2 linked regions of the Ovis aries genome follow. The main gene of each other region encodes a partner of the protein of the gene in region 2 in a complex. Links are inferred from orthologs where the notes say so. Each region holds a gene or a part of one and is shown on either strand. Other genes may lie near its edges. The genes, in order: BAD and BCL2L1.

The links.
Region 1: the proteins of BCL2L1 (region 2) and BAD are in contact, whole or in part, in a crystal structure (PDB 2BZW), measured with the Mus musculus proteins. The link is inferred for Ovis aries from reciprocal best matches to the Homo sapiens genes BCL2L1 and BAD. Residues at the interface, in NP_001276645.1 of Mus musculus: Ala93, Glu96, Phe97, Arg100, Tyr101, Arg103, Ala104, Phe105, Leu108, Gln111, Leu112, Gln121, Ser122, Gln125, Val126, Glu129, Leu130, Arg132, Asp133, Asn136, Trp137, Gly138, Arg139, Val141, Ala142, Phe146, Asp193, Leu194, Tyr195, Gly196; in NP_031548.1 of Mus musculus: Ala137, Leu141, Ala143, Ala144, Gln145, Tyr147, Gly148, Arg149, Leu151, Arg152, Met154, Ser155, Asp156, Glu157, Phe158, Glu159, Phe162, Lys163.

What each region holds. Positions count from the first base shown.
Region 1 is NC_056074.1:39,033,969-39,038,351, forward strand, and holds the start of BAD (bcl2-associated agonist of cell death), read right to left. Parts: upstream 2,936-4,383; 5' UTR 2,508-2,935; exon of another isoform or gene 1,870-2,507; 5' UTR 1,862-1,869; coding exon 1,675-1,861; exon of another isoform or gene 1-1,674. Other genes in the region: integral membrane protein GPR137, read left to right, coding at 3,941-4,297, 4,381-4,383. UniProt on the Homo sapiens protein: Promotes cell death. Successfully competes for the binding to Bcl-X(L), Bcl-2 and Bcl-W, thereby affecting the level of heterodimerization of these proteins with BAX. Can reverse the death repressor activity of Bcl-X(L), but not that of Bcl-2.
Region 2 is NC_056066.1:60,936,964-60,941,243, reverse strand, and holds the start of BCL2L1 (bcl-2-like protein 1), read left to right. Parts: upstream 1-1,238; 5' UTR 1,239-1,278; coding exon 1,279-1,842; intron 1,843-4,280. UniProt on the Homo sapiens protein: Potent inhibitor of cell death. Inhibits activation of caspases. Appears to regulate cell death by blocking the voltage-dependent anion channel (VDAC) by binding to it and preventing the release of the caspase activator, CYC1, from the mitochondrial membrane.

The sequences.
Region 1 (4,383 bases), on a different chromosome or scaffold from region 2:
TTGGACTTGATTGAGTGACTAACACTGCCCTCTGTCTGCGGGCATCCCTGCCAGCATCTGTCTTCCCACAGATCTCTGTCTGGCTCAGCCCTCATCAGATTCTAGCCTTGGCTCAAATGTTGCTTCTTACCAAGGCCCTAGTAGCTCAGCTGGTAAAGAATCACCTGCAGTGCAGGAGACGTGAGTTCGATCCCTGGGTCAGAAAGATCCCCTGGAGAAGGAAATGGCAATCCACTCCAGTATTCTTGCCTGGGAAATCCATGGACAGAGGAGCCTGGAGGGCTACAGTCCATGGTGTCGCAAGAGTCAGACATGCCTTAGCAACTAAACCACCACCACCAAGGCCCACCCTGACCACCTCAGTTCAAATCACTCCCTCGAGCCCCCAAGCACTCTGGATTCCAAAGAGAAAGTCAAGGGTATGTCACCTAAGGCATCACCTGCTAAGGTACCGTATCACTGACTAGTTTGTTTGTTTCTTTGTTTATGACTTGTCTCCCCCTATCTTCCAGAATGTAGGCAACCACAAGGGCAAGAGCTTCTCTTCTAGTCCCTGATGAACCCCTGGCAGCTGGTACACACATTCAGCACTTGACACAGAAGATGGGGACAGCCAGATACAGGGTGGAAAGCAAGTTTCAAGCAGAAGAACTCCAAGTGCAAAAATCTCGAAGTTAAAGCCTGTGGAGTTCAGTGTGACATACAGCAGGCTGGGTGGTGGGGGTGGGGTCTTTTTTCTTTTAATTTTGTTTTTTTTTAGAGATTGTATCCCTAATAACTGAATATCAACCTTTTTTCTTTCTTTCTTAACTGTAATCCTAATTCCCTGACCAGGCATTGAACCCCGGGGTCCTTGGTAGTGAAAGCACTGAGCGTTAACCACTGGACCACCAGGGAACTCCCTGGGGTGGGGGCATTAATAAGCCTTCCTGCTCCTGAAAATGGAAGGGTGTCACACTGGCAGCAGTTAAGGGACATGAGTTTTGTTTTCAGAAGATGTCTGTGGTTGTTCCAGGTGCCAAGGCTTGTACTGGGCACCCAGGTGGTAGGGACTACTAAGACGTGGCCGCTGCCCTCCAGGGCCCATCCTTCCATCTCCGCTGGGTCTCCCTCAGTAGATACAGAGGACAGCTGATGCTTTCCCAGTCCCACACAGACCTGCTGCCTGGTAGGGCCATCTGCCTCTTGGGATTACCTGGCCCTGGCAATGTTAAGGACAGCCCTGTGTGGGTGTGAGCCACAGGGCGGGAAAGAACAGAGCTGGGAACTGGATCCAGATCTTAAGGAAAGCACTAGCCTGAGGTAAGGCACCACAGAATCTTCTAGCCCAAAGGAAATGCCAAGTGAGTGTGACCTTAGGCAAGTCATTTCCCCTTTCTGGCCTCTCAGTGATTCTCTCCTGGTCCTAAGCTAAGAGCTACATACTTGGAGCATTTACTAAACACCAGCTCTATAATTAAGTGCTTCTAAGGTATGCTTGTTAATCTTTCCCACAGCACTACCAGGGTGGTGATGAATTGCTGTTTTACAGAAGAGGAAACTGAGGTGCAGAGCGGTGAGGGACTTACTCAAAGCCCCCCAGAATGTGGATGTGGCTGGGGTGCAGAGAACTACTGGGCTGGAGGCAAGCTGGACAGGCAGGTGGTTGTTGGGTGGGGGGTGGGGGTTGCCTACCTCCATGGTGGCTGCTGCCGGCCGGCTGCCCCTGCTGGTGACCAGCTTCCCCCAGGAGGCCCGGGGCTGTTAGCCAGTGCTTGCTGAGACCTGGGGGCCTGTCCCCTGTGGGGCTGGGGCCCAGGCCCCTATCTGCAGGGCTGGAGTCTTCCTGCTCACTCTGCTCAAACTCTGGGATCTGGAACATGCTCTGGGCTGCAGGGGGGCAAGATGACAAGTAATTAGAGAACAGCAGGAGCTAAGGGTGGCTGGCAGGGTTGGGGGCGCAGGTGTCCCTGGCTCCCTCTCCCACCTCAGCACCCCAGGTCCACCCTGCCTCCCTGGCGCACATCTATCCGTTGAGTCTGGCCCGGCAAGAAGCTCGACTTATCCACCCAGGATCTAAAACTCTCAGAGCTCTAGGGCTGGAGAGAAGCCTCAGGCCCCTGCCCAGGCTTCAGCCAGACCCGCCCGCGGTAACGGCACACAGATCTCACCCCAAGCCCGATAACCAGGCCCCCGACCCGGGCCCGCCGCGTCCCTCTAGCAAAAAGAGAGCCCGGCCCTAGTTGCCTGGGTAACGGAAACTGTCACCGGCCCGGCCCAATCAGCTCTTGAGATGTCACTAGCTGGCCAGCAGGCGGGGCCACTCCCCGGGGCCCCGCCCACTGCCTTCCTTCTGATTCTCTTCTACGTCTCCGGATGCTCAGCTCCTGACTTCCTTATGCCTTGGGCGTTGTGGGAGCCGCTGAGGGATTCTCCGGGGTCCCCATTTGGAAGGCAGCTCCTGCTGACAAATCCTTCAGCCCCTCTGGGACTTAATTCCCACTCCTGTAAAATGGGGATAATGACACCTCTTTCAGGAGTCAGTGATCCTTGTAAACTGGGCGGTGATTACTGTGGGTGAAAGCACTTTGCAAAGCCGTAATCGAAGTTCAGCCGTCGGAGGCAACTGTTGTTGCTGTTGTCACTGCTCCATCCGAACCGGGTGACCGGCTCGGGAAGCGCCCCTCCCTCCTCCTCGCGGTGGAAACCTCGCACCGCCCGCGTCAGGGGCGCCACTCCCCGCACCAACTCGGGGGCACTAGAGATAAGCGAGGGAGCCTCCACCCGGGGCAGGATGACTGTCCCGGCGCAGAAGGGAAAGGGGCCCCTAGGAGGGTGACAATAGGACTTGCGGAGACCTCGCGCCTGGCAGGCGGCAGGCCAGGTGAGCGGGAAACGCAGCCAGCCAAAGAATGGGCGGGCGGGCTTGCGCGGGACGCTGGGGGCCCCCGCGGGTAAAGGCCCGGGGGGCGGGGCCCGGAGGCCATCTTGGCTGAGGGCGGAAGTTTCCCTCAGAGACCGAGTGAAGGGAAGTCGTTACCGCCCCAGGTCGGGCGGCACAATCTCGATTTGGGGATGGGGAAGAGAAGCCTGGGAATCGCCAGCTTCCCATGGAAGCGAGGGCCTGTAGCTCTGGGCAATGCCCACCAGGGCGCCGGCCGGATGCTGCGCAGCCGGAAAGTCAAGGCCGCTCGCCGCCTCTTATAACCCTTGGCACCCGGCGGTGGCGCAAGTTGCGCCAATTCTCGAACAGCTCCGCGCCGGGCGCGGCGCGGGCCTGCGTAGTCAGGACTGGACCCTGAGCAATTTGCGTAGCGAACGGCGGCCGCGCAGGCGCAGGAGGGGGCGGAGCAGCGGGAGCCGGGGAGCCGGAGCCCCGGGTCCCAGCGACCGGAGCCGGCTCCCCTAGCCGCGGCCTGAGGACCGGGCGTCGGCCTCCTCCCGCCCCCCCGCAGTTGGAGAGTGGACGCAGTGGGGGGTGGGGTGGGCCAGCGTCCGGAATCCAAGGACGGAAGGCAGAGGCCCTCCCCATCCGGATTGTTGGAGGGGAGAGAGCCCTCCAGTTTGGGGAGGGGGAGAGCCAGACGTTGAGCGTCCCCAGCAGCGGCCGCTGCTCTGAACAGACTGGCGTTGGCCGGCTCTCCCCCTCCTGCCGGGACGACTTCAGCGACCGAGGCCAGGGACCCCCACTCCTTCGGCTTCTTCACCCCCATCCCCCCACTTCCCCACCCGCCTGTGCCCTGAAGAGGAAGAGCTGTCTTTTCCACACCCCGTAGTGAGGGACCCAGGTTGCCTGTGCCCCGCAAAGGCAAGGGGCCCTCTGTCGAGGGCGGGAGGGCCCGGCCAACCACCACTTCTTTCCGCCTGAGCACCCTACAACTCCCACCCCTCCGTATTTATTTCCTTGGCCCCCTGCCGGCCCCTCCATCTCTGTCTTCAGGTTCAGGCCTCCCTCCCTGACATGGAGAGTAACCTGTCTGGCTTGGTGCCTGCTGCTGGGCTGGTACCTGCGCTGCCGCCCGCCGTGACCCTGGGGCTGACTGCAGCCTACACCACCCTGTATGCCCTGCTCTTCTTCTCCGTCTATGCCCAGCTCTGGCTGGTGCTCCTGTATGGGCACAAGCGTCTCAGCTATCAGACGGTGTTCCTGGCGCTCTGTCTGCTCTGGGCTGCCCTGCGTACCACCCTCTTCTCCTTCTACTTTCGAGACACACCCCGAGCCAACCACCTGGGGCCCCTGCCCTTCTGGCTTCTCTACTGCTGTCCTGTCTGCCTGCAGTTCTTCACACTGACGCTCATGAACCTCTACTTTGCTCAGGTAACCATGGTGATGGGTGAGGGTGGGCCCATGGGGTAGCAAGCCCCAGGGCCCCAAAGAATAATGGGCCTCTCTGCCCCCAGGTG
Region 2 (4,280 bases):
CCTCTAGAGAGGTGCAACCCCGGGCCCCTAAGCTCCCGGGGGTGCCAAGAAGCCAGCCTGGGCCTGTCCCCAGGAAAACGTAGTCTCAGCTGTGGGGGGTCTCGAGCAGGCCTCGACCCTTGTCTCTGACCGGTGGAGAGGCTCGGCGCCTCACCCTCGCCCGGTCTTTGTGCAGGGCGCCGGCGGCCATTGTGTCCGTGCGGGGAATGGAGGACCCGGCAATCCCCCACTGCCACCGCCACTACCAGGGCCTTTGGGGAATTCAAAGAAAGCCAGCGGCGTTTCTGGGGGGTCTCCGGCTTTCAGCCTCCCAGAAAGGCCCGGGGATGGCCTTTCCAAACTCAGACCGCAGATCCAAGGCAGTGTTCCCCTCCCTCTGTTTCTCATCGAAACCTTGAGCCCCATCGAGAAGTCCCTTCAAGGTTTCTTCGGAAGCCTCACCCAGGGCTGATACTGAAATAGAAAAAAAAAAAAAAAAAAACTAAAGCTCACACCAGCCACCTCCGAGAGAGTTCTCCTAGCTCCCAGTAGGAGGCGGAGAGCCAAGGGGCGTGCAAGAGCGAGGGGGCTGGGCTCCCGGGTGGCAGGAGGCCGCGGCAGCGGCCGCCCTCGATCGGGGCGATGGAGGAGGAAGCAAGCGAGGGGGCCGGTTCTTGAGCTTCGTAATTCCTGTGTCGCCTCCTGAGCTCTCAGTTCGCCGGGTCGCATGATCCCTCCAGCCGGAGCTGCTTTTTTTGCCAGCCGCCGCCGCGAGGCCGGTTGACTTACCGGCATCCCCGCTGCCACCTCCTCTCCCACCTATGATACAAAAGATCTTCCGGGGGCTGCACCTGCCTGCCGTCGCCTGAGACGGATTTGAATGTAGGTGGTGAGGGTTTATGGGGGTGGGGGGCAGACTGCCCATGGGGGTGACTTTTCGAGGAAGACATTTCAGAGAAAAGGGGGTGGCTGGGATAAAAGGGGAGGAAAAAAAGGCCGGTGTGATGATTCAGAGCCCACTGGTGCTTTCAAATTGACTTCATCGAAGTACCTGGGAAGCTAGACCCATATCTTCATAAGAGCGGCAGAGAACCCAGTTCAAGTACCTGGAGTGGGGAATGGGATATTGTAGGTAAATGGCTTGCATATTCATTTTTTCCCCCCTGAAGCTCTTTCTTTCCCTTCAGAACCTTGTCTTGCCTTTGGATCTTCGAAGAGAACCACTAAGCAGAGACCAGACCCAGTGAGTGAGCAGGTGTTTTGGACAATGGACTGGTGGAGCCCATCCTTATTATAAAAATGTCTCAGAGCAACCGGGAGCTGGTGGTTGACTTTCTCTCTTACAAGCTTTCCCAGAAAGGATACAGCTGGAGTCAGTTTAGTGATGTGGAAGAGAACAGAACTGAGGCCCCAGAAGGGACAGAATCAGATATGGAAACCCCCAGTGCCATCAATGGCAACCCATCTTGGCACCTGGCGGATAGCCCTGCGGTGAATGGAGCCACCGGCCACAGCAGAAGCTTGGATGCCCGGGAAGTGATCCCCATGGCAGCGGTGAAGCAAGCCCTGAGGGAGGCAGGCGATGAGTTTGAACTGAGGTACCGACGGGCATTCAGCGACCTGACGTCCCAGCTCCACATCACCCCAGGGACAGCATATCAGAGCTTTGAACAGGTAGTGAATGAACTCTTCCGGGACGGGGTGAACTGGGGTCGCATTGTGGCCTTTTTCTCCTTCGGTGGGGCACTGTGCGTGGAAAGCGTAGACAAGGAGATGCAGGTATTGGTGAGTCGGATCGCAACTTGGATGGCTACTTACCTGAATGACCACCTAGAGCCTTGGATCCAGGAGAACGGCGGCTGGGTAAGAACCACGCCCCTTATGTATTCCTTTTCCTTGGCTTCTGGTCAAATCCCCAACAACCTTTCCCCTGTGTCTGTTGTGCTGGGTGATTATTATTGTTTGTTAAGGAGACATAACTGGCCTCTTTGTATCACAGAGGTTAACTTCTGAAATACAGATGACCTAGTTCTGTGAGGACCAGACATCTTCATTCTGGTCTTCCTCGTGACCCTACTCTGTCATACTTGTGTTCCAGTTTCTCTGCAGAAGATAACATAGCCTGTGTGTTCATTTGGCCCCAAACCTTTGAGAATGCAAAGGTAACAGGTTACCCCTCACCCTGACATAATGGCTCACAACGTTAAGGGGTGATGAGTGGAATGCCTGGAGAAGATAGTGAATATCAGTGACCCACCAGCCCCTTCAGTCTTACTCCCTTGAGCTGTCAATCCTGTCCTGGGCTTCCCTCCTCCAAATCAGGTTCCCCTTATTTCAGAGTTTGCATGGCCTGGCTTTGCATCCCTCTGGATGGCTGAGGATTGTCTGATTTTAGGTTGTAAGCTGCGCCAATGGGCCAGTTGTGTTTGTGCTGTGCCCCATATTTATTGGCTCTAAAGTATGCGACTTTTCTGTGTGGTTGGCCAGTTTGCGGAGCGCTTGCTGTCAGCCCAGGGACTTTGCACCTCACTGCCTGGGTTGGTTGGGGAGCTCCAGCTGTTATGCTTGTCACTTTTCTGCCATGGCCCTGGGGCCTCTTCACTGAGCACTGTTTGCTGGCAATGCAAGAACCTGATCTTTGGGGCTCCTTGGGACATTGAGATTCAGTGACAGACTTCAGAAACAAACTGACACAGATGTGAGTCCCAGCCCTGTCACTTAACTAGGTGTGTGACCTTGGACAGGCCAGTTTACCTTGAGCCTCAGGTTCTTCCACTAAAAAAATGTGGCCAACCCTCTTGCCTTGCAGTCCTTGTAAATCTTGGAGCTGATGTGAGCATAGTGACAGGAAGTTTGCTCTAGTAGTTACTGTCAGATCCAGGTACACCTTCTGAAACTGAGTCGTGCCTCATTCCTTTGCCAGGGAAGAGAATTCCCTTGCCCTGATATCACCAAGTCAGGATGAGCTGGTGTGGAGGGATTCTTTACCTGTGGTCACTGTCAGCAGCTTTTGCTCTCTTGCAGTGAACTCAGTCATATCTCCTCGCTTATCTCCCTGCCTCAGGGAGGTGTAGGGCTTAAGAGAGGTATTCATTCTGTCCTTCAGAAAATTGAGCAGGCTGTGGAAAATAAGTCATCTATTGAAGGAGCTGAGGTGGAAAGGGCCACGCACCATGGACTCAGGAATGTTAAGAATGCAATTATCCAGAGGCTGGGCCTAGGGTGTGGCAGCCACTTCAGTTTACCACTGAGCAAGGGACCTCCAGGTACACCACCCCCTGTCTTATTTCCCATTTCTTTGCAACTTCATCAACTCTTCCCACTGCCAGTTCTTATAAAGAGCAGAGTAGAGGTCAGATGACCGGGGTGGGGCTGGGAAGGTAAAGGTGGAGGGCTTTCTTTGGCTCAGACTGACCCAACTTGAAAGCCTTTCAGTAAATGAACTCCCTGGGGGAATAAATGATTAAATAGTTCCTGTTGGTTTGTGTGATGACCTCTCTTTTTCCCTCCTGCTTTGATTTTCTTTAGGGGCAAATATTTGTTTAACTTACTACAGGAGGGACAGGATTCCAGCGTTTCTGACACACCCTCTGAGGCCTAAGTAGAGACTTGGGCCATTTGCCCCTCACTGTTATCTCTGGCTGGTGGTCCTAATTCCATGTGGGTTGTGGCCAACTGTTAACAAAAGGCAACATGGGAGAGGTTCCTGGCCTGCCAGCCAGTTGTCTAAGAGGGCCACCTGGACCAGAGAGTTGTTAGTCACCCAGTGTTGCGTGTGGAAAGAGGTCTTTGACACAGCAACACTGGGCAAGATCATTAGATCACCACTGGATTGACATTCCATCTTCTGCTGTCTCTTTGCCCAACAGCATACCATGTGTTACTTCCTCTTGGTGGACAGAGGGGATGTGTGCAGAAGAGCCAGTTATATCAGAACCGTTTCTGGGCACGTGTTCTTCCCGAGGCCAGGAGATAGAGAACATGTGACACTGGGATCCTTTGGGTAGAAGGTGCCGCCCACTTCCTCTCGGGGACCATTCTGTTTGAGCTGCACACTGGCTGCTGCAGTGGCATCTCATAACCTTCCTGGAGGCTGTGCCTGGGGGATCCATGAATGTAAGAATTACGGACCATTCCACTCGGATATGCTCTAAATTTAGCATCCTGGCAGGAAAGGAAAAGGAAATGTGCTTTTACGGAGTATATCTTATGCGTGAGGCATTGTAGTAGGTCTTTTACTTATGCAGCCAAAATTCACTGAGCATCTTCTGTGAAGCAGGCATGTGCTGGGTATTGGCTAT